Linked DNA regions of Saccharomyces cerevisiae S288C. Changing the gene in region 1 together with any one later gene gives a genetic interaction. Each region holds a gene or a part of one and is shown on either strand. Other genes may lie near its edges.

Region 1 (3,652 bases):
CAGGCCTAAGACTCTTGGGTGATGCCAAATCTTCAAAAATTTTGAGCGCTGTAAGGGATCATTTGGAGAAGGACTATCCTTTCCCAGTTGTCGAAGGTGATGGTGTTTCCATCATGGGCGGTGATGAAGAAGGTGTCTTCGCCTGGATTACTACAAACTACCTATTAGGTAATATCGGTGCTAATGGCCCCAAGTTACCTACTGCTGCCGTTTTTGACTTAGGCGGAGGGTCTACACAAATTGTTTTTGAGCCTACTTTCCCAATAAATGAAAAAATGGTCGATGGTGAGCATAAATTTGATTTGAAGTTTGGTGATGAAAATTACACCTTGTACCAATTTTCTCATCTAGGTTACGGTTTGAAGGAAGGAAGAAATAAAGTTAACTCTGTTCTTGTGGAAAATGCATTAAAAGACGGCAAAATATTGAAGGGTGATAACACTAAGACTCATCAATTGTCATCTCCATGCCTACCGCCTAAAGTTAATGCCACAAATGAAAAGGTTACATTAGAATCCAAGGAAACTTATACCATTGACTTTATAGGGCCGGACGAGCCAAGTGGTGCACAATGTAGATTTCTGACTGATGAAATTTTGAATAAAGATGCTCAGTGCCAGTCTCCACCATGCTCTTTCAATGGGGTTCACCAACCTTCTTTAGTTCGTACATTCAAAGAATCGAACGATATCTATATTTTCTCTTATTTCTACGACAGAACCCGTCCATTGGGTATGCCCTTGTCCTTTACTTTGAATGAATTGAACGATTTGGCAAGAATAGTGTGTAAAGGCGAAGAAACTTGGAATAGTGTCTTCAGTGGCATTGCGGGGTCCCTAGATGAATTGGAAAGTGACTCGCACTTCTGTTTGGACTTATCTTTTCAAGTGTCCTTATTACATACGGGATATGACATTCCATTACAAAGAGAATTGAGAACTGGAAAGAAAATTGCCAATAAAGAAATCGGTTGGTGTTTAGGTGCGTCATTACCATTGTTGAAAGCTGATAACTGGAAATGTAAAATTCAATCAGCTTGAATAAGAACATGGACACCGCTTTTCGTCCCATGTATATTAAGGAAGAGGAGATTGCGGTGATATGTATTCTGTTATATGTCCTATTCTATAACCCTTGAACAATATGTAAACGATTTTTACGTTATGAAAATCACTATTATCCCCACAATAGTTTATTATAACACCGCCGCCAAGACAGGGGATTGAAAAGGCCTTCCGAGGTTTATCCATTTTTGGTAAAAGCCCGCCACGCCTTCAGGTGTTTGAGTATGAACTGGAAGAGTTATCTGTTAGGACCTCATAATCTTGAACATATGAGATAATTTAATATACTTTTGTTATGGATTGTTCCGTTGTTTTAAGACTATATGGCTTTGTTTTAGTTTTAGGGTGATTGTGGATATCACACCGGTCCTCAAGAAAATCGAAAACAAAAGGATAATCGGACTTATCTGGTGATCGAAGAAACTGCATTTCAGGTCGTTTAATAAACTGCTAGCTATTGATATTATATATATAAATAAACCTACAATCAGGTTAGTGTATTCATCTCACTTCTATAGCGTTGTGAAAGGGAAATGGAAATAGTGCAATCTCAATAAATCTGCTTACGTGACATTTTTTACTAAAAGAGAATATGAAAACTGATAGATTACTGATTAACGCTTCCCCGGAGACATGTACCAAGGGAGATGCTGAGATGGATACTATGGATACTATTGACAGAATGACATCAGTTAAAGTTTTAGCGGAAGGCAAGGTATTAAGCAACTTCGAAGAACCGGGCTTAATGAGGTGCGGTTATCATGATGCAAAAAACTGGGTCAGAAGATTATCGAGCGAAACAATTGTCGGTGAGGACACGAGTAATTTATACCCATTTTATGTTGATACTGCATACGATGTAAGGCGTTTGAGAAAGGATCTTATAAATGCTAAGGTTGACTTGCAGGTTGAAAACCTGATAATAATCTGCAATATTAATGATATTTCCACTGTATTTCTCATGAGAGAAGTGGTGGAATGGATCTTACGCAATTTCCATTCAATAACTGTATATGTACAAGATATTTTTAAAAAGTCAACTCAGTTTGCTGTTGGTGACCTCTGCAAAGACAGCAATTGCAGTAAAAACAGAGTAAAGTATTGGTCAAAAGAATTTGTTAAAAAACACGATTCATTCTTTGACTTGATGATTACACTAGGGGGTGATGGAACTGTCCTTTTTGCTTCATCTATATTCACGAAAGATGTTCCGCCGATTGTTCCATTTGCCCTTGGATCATTAGGATTTCTAACAAATTTTGAATTTCAAAATTTCAAAGAAACGTTGAAACATATCTTAACAGATGAGGTTCGTATTAATTTACGAATGAGGTTGCAATGCAAACTCTACCGTAGAAATAAACCAGAAATTGATGCCGCAACTGGGAGAAAAATATGTTACATCGATTTCATCTCCGAACATCACGTATTGAACGAAGTAACCATAGATAGAGGTCCAGCTCCTTGTTTATCCCTATTAGAACTCTATGGAAACGACTCACTAATGACTAAGGTTCAGGGAGATGGATTGATTGTTGCCACGCCTACGGGATCCACGGCATACTCATTGAGTGCAGGAGGCTCTTTAATATCGCCAAGCGTAAATGCCATAGCGGTGACGCCTATATGTCCTCATACTTTGAGCTTTAGGCCTATAATTTTACCAGATAGCATGGAATTAAAAGTTAGAGTAGATATGAACTCAAGAGGGACGTCGTGGGTGAATTTTGACGGAAAAGATAGAGTTGAATTGAAACAGGGTGACTATGTTGTGATAACTGCAAGCCCCTATTCGGTACCGACTATCGAGTCATCTGCCAGTGAATTTTTTGAAAGTATCAGTAAAAATCTTAATTGGAATGACCGCGAAGAGCAGAAGCCATTTGCACATATTCTCTCGCCAAAAAATCAAGAAAAATATAGATTAGACTCATCGAAAAATGGAAACGACACCATAAGTAATCCCCTCGAGAGTTCATGCATAAGCTCAGATGCACAAGATGAGGAGAGGAAATCCGTAACGGAAACAGAAACAGAAATAGTTGTTGAACGGACTCGTCAGGCTCATTTTGCAATCTAACGATTTCCCACATCCTGCGTTTCCGTAGTCAAGGGTTCATAATGGATGATGAGCCTGTAAACAGCTTTGTATTTACCTCTTTTACTTCAAGAATGCTCTTGCGTCGTTTGCAGTGTCGAAGAAGATCCAGTAGAGCTATACAAAATGGAGAAATGAAACAGTTGAACCAGAGCGCCGCATTTGGCAGGTAGTTTCGCTAAATTTCCTCATGCGCGTTTGTAATTATGCTAGTTAACCATATGATAAGGTTGCCTAACTTGCAGTCACCGGAAGGTTATTTCCGGAATGGTGCAGAATAATTTTTAAAATAGTAGCATATATTTCGTTCCAATTCCCAAATAGGGAATTATAATTATGACAGATAAATTCCCGATTAGGAAGAAGCGCGAAAATTCTTGAAAAACTTTTTTCAACCTCGAAGAAAATCGTCGTCCTTCGAAGATTTAGTGGGAATCTTCAAGGTGGATAGTTTCCAAATTAAAACTGCAGAAGAGGCTTTTAAAACATG
Region 2 (3,838 bases), on another chromosome or scaffold:
TTTTCAACTGCAACTGCCTGAATTCTAGATCTTTTTTCCTTGGGTTATTTTCGTGGGACAATTTCAATTGTTTCTCAAAGAAGAAATTTCTTGAGATTTCAACTATTTCATCTATTTTAGACACTGGGGTATAATTCAATATTTTTGAGCCGTCGTTTGACATGTTGGTGATAAATTACTATGGCTATGGTTTTAGAATATTCCTTTTAGATAATCAATATGCCTGAAGTTTTGTTTTTTATATATGGAGTATCCGTTTATCCCTAAAATCCGAAGAATCTCCTCCTAAAACGACAAAAAAAAGGGTAAGCAATCCACCATCTAATTAAATCACTAATATTAGATTGAATTTTCGAACCTATCTAAAAGTGGGATCTTGATGTAAAATTGACTGATAGATAAAAGGCTTGGAGTCGATAGTTGATATATCAGTACACCGGTAATTGTCTATTATATACCCTGTTGGCATGAAATCCATATAGGACGGTATATATTTATATATAAAATGCATGTAAAAATCTTTCATCATGAACTACTCGGAATTTTTGGCTGGAAATTCGTTGTTCCATTTCCTCTAAGTGTCTTGATCATGTTCTGGTGTGCCTGTACTGGAATTTGGTATACTATGTGGCTGCTGTAATGATAATCTAGCTTCTCTCTCTTCTAACAAGAAAATTCTTCTTGGCTTCCCTCTTCTCTTTAGAGTAAGTGAATAGTCTTCGAGTTTGTCCATTTTTTTGGAGAAGTATTCGTATAACTGGGACATTGATAATCGGCAATGATGTCCTTTGAAGGTATTGTTTCCCAATCTTATATTTTCGACAACCTTGATGGCTTGGTTTCTACTTATTTTATTCTCAGGTAGCGACAAACCATATTTGCTTGGATCATCTTTTATATCTATTATTCTTTTTATGATGGTCATTCTTTTAGTGAACAAAGTCCTTTCTTTGGCAGATCGCCTCCAAGTGGACCCATATCTCCTCTCAAGGGAAAGAACTGACGGTTGGCCCGGTAAGCCTTCAAAGTATTCACGGGCCGCATCTGTAACGTTCTGGATTGCACGATTTAGTTTATATGACGTTCCAACGCACCCTCTTCTGTTTCTGATATCATTCTCGTTTCCTGTTCCATCGAGTTGGTTATTACTGTCATCAGCATTGCTAACAGAATCGGGGTTATTTAAAGGTAGGTTCCTGGTGGTAGCGTTCTCATCACTTTCATTACCATCGTATTCCCCATTTTCAAAGTCTGACAGCCCTGGCTCAGGCTTGATACGAGGATCGCCGGCTAATATGCTTGCGTGCATACTATATTCTTGCCAGTTTGTTGATCTTGACTGACTTTGATGAGCTTGCGTACTTGTTGATGGATTTCCAACACGAGCAGCTTCCTGAGGAGTAACATTTTCCCCAGTATGGTCTATAAATCTTATTCTCTCCCCAGTCATAATACCAACTACCTCTTTGAAGACTTCTTTCATTGCGGAAACATCTTCAACATACTTATTGATGTCTTTAAATCCTTTCTCCAACTTCTTTTGATTCTCTAGAAAGAAGAGTTCTTGTTCCTTTTTCATTAGGCTGATTTCTTCCTTCAGATTGGCATTTTGCTCCTCCATTCTGGTTAGTTGTGCTATAAGAAATGCATTGAAATTTGTTTCAGGGGTTTCTTTTATCCTTCCAGGGCCTATTCTGTTGGTCGGTTCTGTTGCCGATGCTGATGTGGATGTAGACACTATGGGAGGTTGAGCAGCGTCTGTCGGTCTGAAAAGAGGATTGATACGGCCTGGGATCATGTACCTATTTAATGCAGCATGTCTTGATACTCCTGTTGGACTTGTGGTTATAGTTCGCTGCCCTAGATCGTGATTCCTGCGTTCAGAATCTCTATCTGAATCATCATCGTCCAACGAGCCGTACCCACCAAAACCTTCTACATAGTTATATTCTCGAGCGGGCATGTTTAATTAATGTGTTGACTCCTGGACTAACTTCTCGATGGCACAAAATGTAGTCTTCTGGCAAAAGACGAAGTTGATTGTTAAATATTTTAAGCTAGCAATGCCCTTTGTACTCTCGTTTGTGTTTGAGTTTCAAGTACGCTTCCTTTTTTTAATTTTTTTACTAATACTAAACTCGTTCTCTTTAGACAATACTGGTTGAAGTAAAGTAAATGCTATATCATCATATGGAATATGATATCCCTGTGATGTTTATATAATTATACATTTGTACTTGATACAAAAGTGTTCTAGTCCTAATTAAGGTTTACTTGGATTTCGAAGGATCTAATATAGCCGACAATAAATCCAATTGTTCTTCCATTTTTTCTGTGTCTTGGCCTAGGGCCTTCTTGTTGACATTGATGGGCAGTAGTCGTGTTCCAACGTTCTCATCCAACAACTGTATCTCCTTGCGTAGCTGTGTGGTTGATTTATCTAGTCGTTCGTAAAACTGTTTGACATGATTTTCGAATTGGGGTTTCACTGATTCATTACCTCTTTTTAGTTCACCAAATATGAACGTGACTTGAGACGCCTCCTGCAACATGGAGCATAACTGGGTCTCTATATCATTTAATGACTTAAGACGTTCTTGTATATATGGTGGCTGCATTGTTTCGTTTTCTTGTTTCGTTTCACTCTTCGTATTGAGAACCTGCATCGTTGTTCATTTGGATTTGATAGCGTCCTTCTAATAAGCGCGCCTCTGGCTTGATGAGAAGATTTGAATCGAATTAGCAGATCTAACGACTGGGTCAAAAAACCGCTAAGATGAGGGCCTGCATACTGTCCAAGTCAGATTTTCGTACTCATTCGATTACTTTCAAAATATAAAAGCCGCCGCAATGAGCGACTTAAATCAAGTTTTTAAAATGTCCAATATACATATATATAAATAAAGTCAAGATTTTTTTATCACTGGATGTTTCAAAGCTTCTCATACGGTGGCTACGTCCTGGTTACCATATTTCTTGTGTTATATATATTATTTATAGGCCCTTCTACAACATTGGTTAGTTCGGGTGTTTTCCTCTATGAATAATTGTTATTTAAAAATTGAGCAGAAAAACTCAGGATTGTTTATAATGTAAATGTTTTGAATAGACCGATAAGGTCACCTGTTAGTAAGTTGATCTAGTGTATTTATTGTATTTTGCTATATCAATGGCCATTGAATTGGGACTTTCCCGTATTACAAAACTACTAGAGCATTTAGGCAATCCGCAAAACTCACTTAGAGTGCTGCACATTGCAGGGACAAATGGTAAAGGTTCAGTATGTACTTACCTATCTTCTGTGTTGCAACAAAAGTCCTACCAAATTGGAAAATTTACCACTCCACACTTGGTGCATGTTACTGATTCCATTACAATCAACAATAAGCCGATTCCGTTAGAGAGATACCAGAATATTAGATTACAACTAGAAGCTTTAAACAAGTCACACTCTTTAAAATGTACGGAATTCGAGCTATTAACATGTACCGCATTCAAATATTTTTATGATGTGCAGTGCCAATGGTGTGTCATAGAAGTAGGCCTTGGCGGAAGACTTGATGCGACCAATGTTATTCCAGGCGCAAATAAGGCATGTTGTGGTATTACTAAAATCAGTTTGGATCATGAAAGCTTTTTAGGTAACACCTTGTCTGAAATCTCTAAAGAGAAAGCAGGTATAATAACAGAAGGGGTACCCTTCACAGTGATTGATGGAACCAATGAGGCAAGTGTTATAAATGTTGTGAAAGAAAGATGCAAGGCTTTAGGGTCTGAACTATCCGTTACAGATTCTCAACTTAACGGAAATATGATTGACACCAACTCCTGGGGTTGT
Region 3 (3,299 bases), on another chromosome or scaffold:
TTGCTTTTACAAGAGGCTATTTTTTTTTTTCTTCATGCTTCTTAAAGGGATTCATGCATTGGACCGGAGAAAAGTCCGCAGAACGACCACTCGAGGGTAAGAAAAAAACAGCTCAGATTTCCTATTTGAGGCAAATTATGCGGAAATTGAAGAATCGAAAATCACGGAAGTGGTACCAAAATCGGTAGGTTGTTTTCAATTTACCCTTTTTTTCCATTCCCTCATTTAGAACCCATAGCGAGGTCGAAATATCCCTTAGCCATTGGTGTGATGTCTATAGTTATTTCCCTCAGTCAACCCAAAGCAAGATTTACATTGTGTTAACGTATGCCGTGATATGAACAAACACACCGGCCTACATAGCTAAGTTAATCAAAGAAGGTGTAGATAAACTAGGTTACATAACTGCCTATTGGCAAGCTTTCTTGCTATCTTAACAGCAAAGCTCTTAAGTCGTGATCTTCTCTTCTGATTCTCTTCCGATGGCATATAGATTTGAAGACGACAAGGAAAGCTAAGCAACTTCCTAGTTTTCGTCTAAAAAAACCGAAGGTTTTTCCGGTGATTTTCGGAAACATGCAGAAGAGTCCTTAGAAATCTTAGGTAAATTCACTCGGCATGTCTGCTAAAGATCGGTCTAGGCCATGCGCGTAAAACGGGAAAGGGTTCGCTCAATGGCAGATGCTGCCATACGAGGACACAACCAAGATGAGGCCTCCCAAAGCGGTACTCGCGTTAAGAAAGAAGGGCTTTGGAGGCAACCGGGTAGGGTGTCTTCTTTGTAAAGTTTGTCTAATGTTGGAGAATGGTTGCCACCCGGGGAAGAAAACTGCTCAGGGCGGATAACAGGAAAATAACATGTTGCGTGCACTTGTTTCCGTTGAAGGGAGATGGAAAGACTACTTAAAACAAAGTAAAGAAAAACATCTCAAAAATATTGAGAGAAAATGTGGTCCAGGAACCAAAGATGGTATACTATTTTGCTTTAGTTTATTTTTGCCTTCTTGTTTAATTATTACTCAATTGGTATATGTAATTGAGTAAATATACAAATTGTAGCTTGTGTTTTTGTTTTTCACAAATGACATCGGTATGTATTTTTCAACATATCTTCGCCATTTCTGTGAGCTATTCCGAACACCGCTTGAAACGATTTGTATTTTGCACAATCGTCATCGAAGTTCAAAAGTCAATTGCTTTTCCTAATAGAGTTAAAAGTCGGTCTACGAAAGTAAAATGTATACTCAGTAAGAGCGGTCTTTGTCTACAGTTCTCCAAAGTGGTAGTTATATCGGGAATGGGTAAATGCATTACACAACAACAAGGAGTTCTAAAAGAGTAACTGTGAACGCCAAAGGAAAAGATATAAAAAAAGTATGTCCCTTTTTAATACCTTTTTCGTTAAGCCGCTACAGCTACCTCTTGACTAACTGAGAAGCTGAATGGATAAGGAACAAAATCGTACGTAAATTTTCTCATCCATTTTACTTGGTCAACAGATTCTATAATTGTAAAGCTGTAGCTTGCACTTGATTTTGTTCCTAGAAATGCATTCAAAATTATTTAATGGTCGCCAAGAACAGCTAGGTGAAAGTTTACCCGGTCGGGCTTTAAGGGGAAGCCAATGCTTATTCAAAGCATATGGACATATATGAAGATGTCCTGTAAGATTCTTAGATTAAGTTTATATGCATTGAGCAACTAGACACTTTTCGTAAAATGAGTAGTGTTGGCGATTTTGAAGAAATTATTTTGCATGATTTAAAACCTTATTATCACGTTCCCGGTGCCATACATAGTGAAGGAATAACCTTCGTTAAGGAAACCGGTACACTGTTGTGGGTTGATATTTTTAAAGGAGAGGTTCATAAAGTCGAAGACATAGAACAGCCTGAATCCAGTCATTCTTTTTTTTCCATTAGTAGAGCCAATTATGGCAAGAATGCGTCAATTGAGTACCCTCCCAATCCAGATGAATTAAAAGAATCCGTGGGCTGTATATTTCCAATACTTGATGGGGCTTCACAAAATGAAATCAAACAAGTATTATTTGGTAGTAAATTTGGCATAGGAAAATTGGATTTTAGCAAAAGTGAATGGGAATATGTCATTTTGTATTCCGAATGTCCTGAATTGAGTACAGACAGAGCATATAAGTTGAGATCTAATGATGGGAACGTTTCGCCAGATGGAAAATATATTTATGTGGGGCTAATGAGCGATTTTCCATTTGATTTGGAACCTATTGGGTGTTTGCTTCGTGTTGACCTATTAGCTCACAAGATAGAGCTTGTTTGGAATTGCTTGTTAATTCCTAACGCGATCCACTGGGATGAAAGTGATCAAAAGACGATGTACGTGACTGATTCTTTAAACTTCACTATTTGGAAATGTCCTGGTGGCGACTTGCTAAAACGTGACGAGTTAATTGACGTGAAGAACTCCAACAATCAATCTTTTGAGTCTCCTGAACCAGATGGAAGTGCAATTTGGTTTAGCAAAGACGGAAAACATTCTGGGTTTCTGTTTATCACTGTCTGGTCCACCAGTAAGGTTCAAATGTTCGATTTAACTAACGGAAAATTGCTGAAGGAGTTCATTTTGCCGGAGCAGACACCAAGAGTTTCATGTTGTTGTTTTGTTGGTAAAGATCTCTTCGTGACCACTGCCAATGCAGAAATCAACGATGCTGTAAGAACCAATACTGACAAGAATGGTGGCTGCATCTACAAAATTCCAAACGTGCTAGACGGAAATGTTCCTCTGGAATCTACAAAGCGACAACCTCTCCACTAGGTGTATATACATATGTTTATATATATGCAGCATACGTATCCAGCGCATGTAACTAGCGTCATATGACACCGCTTATGGGCAAATTGAAGCGAAGCTCCCAAACTTGTCCTTATACATCGAATAATAGCCGTTCCATTTTGGTTGCCTAGTTATAAGGAGGGAACACCTAAGGGGCGGACAATCAAAAATACATAAAAGAGCGGAAAAGAAAAGAAATAAAAAGAAACCACATTTTATATCACACTTTTCTCGAGAAACATCGAACATCAAGACCTCCAGCATACTACTCACTATTATAAGCACATACTACGCCACATAGATAATGCCGAAAGTCGCTATTTTGATTTATTCAGTGGACGATATAATTGCCACATTAGCAGAAAATGAAAAAAAAGGTATAGAGATAGCTGGTGGTGAGGCTGAGATTTTCCAAGTGCCAGACGTCAGCTATAAAACTGAATATGCGACAGAAGAGGGAAAAGAGGCAGCCAAAGTCGCCAAAA
Region 4 (3,323 bases), on another chromosome or scaffold:
AAGATAACAAATTGCTTTCTTCCGCTAATTTGAGCCTATTGAATTTACTGGGAAATGCCAACGTGGTCAGACATCAATTCAAGAAGTTTAGTTCTCAGAGAGTGTAACTTGCCTGTTTGGTCGCTGCAGTGAAACTGCCATTAGCTCTTTAGAACAACGTTCTAACTATACGAGGACCATATTACGTAAATCAACAAACCTCAAGAATTAGTGTCATATTTTCTCGCAGATATTACTACTGACATTCAGTCAGCTATATCCATTATGCATGAGCGAAAAAAAAGTGCATACAAAAAAGCTTATTTATTGGACTTAATAAACGAAACTATGTAGTGCCGAACCTTCGGATACTGATCATTGGAGTGATTTGATAAAGTTTCTGCAGAATTCTGGGAAATGAAGGAAATGACGTAGCGAGGCCTTCATGCAACACTAGTTGAAATTGAAAAAAAAAAAAACCTTATAAGCTATCTTTCCTATACGTCCTCTATCGACTATATAACCCAAGCAGCTGTTTCATATTTTTTGCAAGAATAACCTCCAAATATTCCTGGCAGCTTGTATGCCATTGTTATCCAGCTCCTGGCACTGTCTTTCGTATCTATTAAACTCTTCAAGGGTAAGCTTGTCTTGAGACTTCAAAAGCCCCTTCTGAGCGACATCACTATTGAATTCAGGGTGTCCTTGAAACGTCAGCACTCTGTTTTGCCTGTAAAATCCTTGGTTTTGACATTTTTCACTTGACGCCCAATTTTGGTATCCCTCTGGGACATCGAACACGCAGTCACTGTGCACTTCAGAAAGATTTAATTCTTGAGCACCAAATAACTTTTGACCCACAGAGTTCAGTTTTAGTGACACAACCCCACCTTCAAACCCTTTCGGATTCCGTCCAACTGAACTTCCTAGAGCAGCCGCGATAACTTGATGACCAAAACATATTCCAGCTACGGGCGGATATTCAGTCTTGCTAGTTAGCATCTCATTTAAGAAACTTCTTAATTTCATAATCCATTCAATTTCATTATCAAATGAATCATATTTTGAACCAGTGATGTATATGCCTAAATACTCATCTTTCTGAAGATCTGACAATTGAGGGAACACGTTTTTTTGTACGTGGAACACTTCATATTCGACATCTTCTGCGATACATTCCAATTTCCTGGTCTGTTCTAATAGCTTGATAGCCATATCAACAAAATTGCCCCATGGTTTACTCCATTCGTTATCTTCATCTGTATAAAGAATAGCTATTTTTTTTACTGTCATTATGATGTTTTCTTAGTATTTTTTTGATATAATTCAATTCTAATATATGTTAATGCATAATTTTCAGAGCTATAGCGGTATATATTTCAAACTTTCTCAATTATCTATGTGAAATTATAAACCTTATCTGTCTTTTCTTCTGTACACCTCATCTGCCACTTCCCACTTTGGCGCGCGTTGACATTTTGCGACAAAAAGAGATTGTTCGTGGCAGTCGTGTAAAAAACTGCACCTCAATCATGAGTTTTTATGCCCATTTTTCACTATTTCATATGAACCATTGGCAATGTACTTCAGCCTACCCTCATCGGCCAGAGTGTTTAAATATCCCTCTAATTGTTGAAGAGTAATTCGGTTATATCCCCAATCTTTTGGCACGGTAATTTTCAAAAAAGAATGGATCTTATGAAGTTTCATTGCGCCTAAATTAGTCAGCATTCCTTCGATGAATGGCAGACTTCTTTGAAGTGTCAATTCATATTTTCTTTCTATCTCAGAATCGTTATGTAGTTCATAGTTACTGTTCTCAATCTCCATTGGGGCGGTCTTTTGTGCTTGATCAAAATCCATCTCGCTATGTTCAATAACGGAATAGGTTCCATTTTCTTTTAAAAGCACACCTTTTTGAATCCAGAAATCTAACAAATGAGTTAGCCTGGGAGGAGCAATATTTAGTGACTCAGAAAGCTGCTCTAGTGATAAACAAATTGGCTCATCATTTGGAGAATCAAACTGATTTATTACGCTGCATTGTTCTAAAGAAACGTCTAACACTAATTTCCTACCATCTTTGAAAGCTAATTGTATTTCTACTTTTCCTTTATCTTTGCATAGTTGTAACTTGCGCCCAGGTTTCAGCTGTGAGTATATATCAGAATACTTCTGTAGCTCCCTTTCTAAATCTATTGGTAAATGAAATGCAAGATCATTAGAACCTTGTGTATCGCAGTTGTACTTCCAGTAGAGGAGTGAGATAAATTTTGGAAATATTATGGGATCCAGTCCGGCTACTTCATGCATTTTACGGCAGAGCTCCTCGCTACATTTTATATCCCAAAGCATAACATCAATGCTATTCAAATTCGACTGGTCTGCATCTGCTGCAGGGGCTGTTGTTTCTAGGAGTCCTAATATACCGTTTGTTATATAATTGGAATGACTTGTTTCTGTGAATTTGACTATTTTTTCTCTTATTAATTTCAAACATCGGGTCCATTTTTCATCCAACGTATAAAATTTCAAAGTGAATAATCTGTCGGTTAAGAGATTTCGAAATTCTGATATGAAAAATTCTCTTGATTCAAATAGATCCAAAAGCACCTCAAACAAATTTGTCTTAATATAACTTGATTTGATGTTACCGGGAATCATGTCATTAGGCTCTGGTACCCAAGCTATATAATAATTGAGTATATGTTCGTATAGCATGGCGTGTCTTATTGGTAGGTCCTTGTTCAATTCCCTCTTTCCTTTCACCTTGAGGTTCCATAGAAAGGGGCTTTTTTTATTCTTGTCCCTTTTGGTGATGTTCGTATCTTGATTGATATCAGAATCGTGCAAAGTGTCTACAAGTGAGAGCAGTGCCTTCATATCTACATTGAAATTAATTTTCTCCTTTAGTTCTTCTTCAGGTAAGTCCAACATTGCGTATAACAATACATTTACTAAGTGCTTCCGCTCCTGAAAGTAAGGTTTAACAAACGTGGTTATTGAATGTAGGCATCTCCCTGTTGGATCCAGGACCAAAAATGCTTTGATAGTTTTAACATATCTCAACAAAGCGTCCACCGTAGTTACGCTGGGGTTTAGAATGTATTTCTTGAAATCAGACAAAAAAGTTGTTACAATATTTGTGTAGTCTTTAAAATCTTTCATAATTTTCCTCAATTCCAATAAAGTAACCTTTGAATCAGGATAAGCCAAAACGCATATATCAAAGATTTCATTCGTTCTTATCCTAAGAAAATTGGACTCAAAACAGTTGAAAACTGTAGTGGTCAGTTCGTGATCATCCTCTGGACAACCGACTAATTTAGAGAACTGAGACCAAT

The links.
Region 2: mutations in YEF1 (region 1) and EUC1 together harm fitness more than expected from each alone (negative genetic interaction), as found in Saccharomyces cerevisiae (one large-scale study listed by BioGRID).
Region 3: mutations in YEF1 (region 1) and YBR053C together harm fitness more than expected from each alone (negative genetic interaction), as found in Saccharomyces cerevisiae (one large-scale study listed by BioGRID).
Region 4: mutations in YEF1 (region 1) and YLR126C together harm fitness more than expected from each alone (negative genetic interaction), as found in Saccharomyces cerevisiae (one large-scale study listed by BioGRID).

Annotation. Positions count from the first base shown.
Region 1 is NC_001137.3:74,288-77,939, forward strand, and holds YEF1 (NADH/NAD(+) kinase), read left to right. Parts: upstream 1-1,656; coding exon 1,657-3,144; downstream 3,145-3,652. Other genes in the region: GDA1 (guanosine diphosphatase), read left to right, coding at 1-1,040. UniProt on the Saccharomyces cerevisiae protein: ATP-NADH kinase with a low phosphorylation activity of both NADH and NAD(+) to produce NADP and NADPH by using ATP.
Region 2 is NC_001145.3:491,830-495,667, forward strand, and holds EUC1 (Euc1p), read right to left. Parts: upstream 1,964-3,838; coding exon 575-1,963; downstream 1-574. Other genes in the region: HFD1 (hexadecenal dehydrogenase), read right to left, coding at 1-163; MED11 (Med11p), read right to left, coding at 2,271-2,666; FOL3 (dihydrofolate synthase), read left to right, coding at 3,170-3,838. UniProt on the Saccharomyces cerevisiae protein: Transcription factor-like protein that binds to specific DNA motifs called ub-HS-motif associated with several locations where proteins other than histone H2B are ubiquitinated (ub-hotspots).
Region 3 is NC_001134.8:339,172-342,470, reverse strand, and holds YBR053C (regucalcin), read left to right. Parts: upstream 1-1,719; coding exon 1,720-2,796; downstream 2,797-3,299. Other genes in the region: RFS1 (flavodoxin-like fold family protein), read left to right, coding at 3,119-3,299.
Region 4 is NC_001144.5:394,249-397,571, forward strand, and holds YLR126C (putative amidotransferase), read right to left. Parts: upstream 1,273-3,323; coding exon 517-1,272; downstream 1-516. Other genes in the region: APC2 (anaphase promoting complex subunit 2), read right to left, coding at 1,510-3,323. UniProt on the Saccharomyces cerevisiae protein: May have a role in copper and iron homeostasis.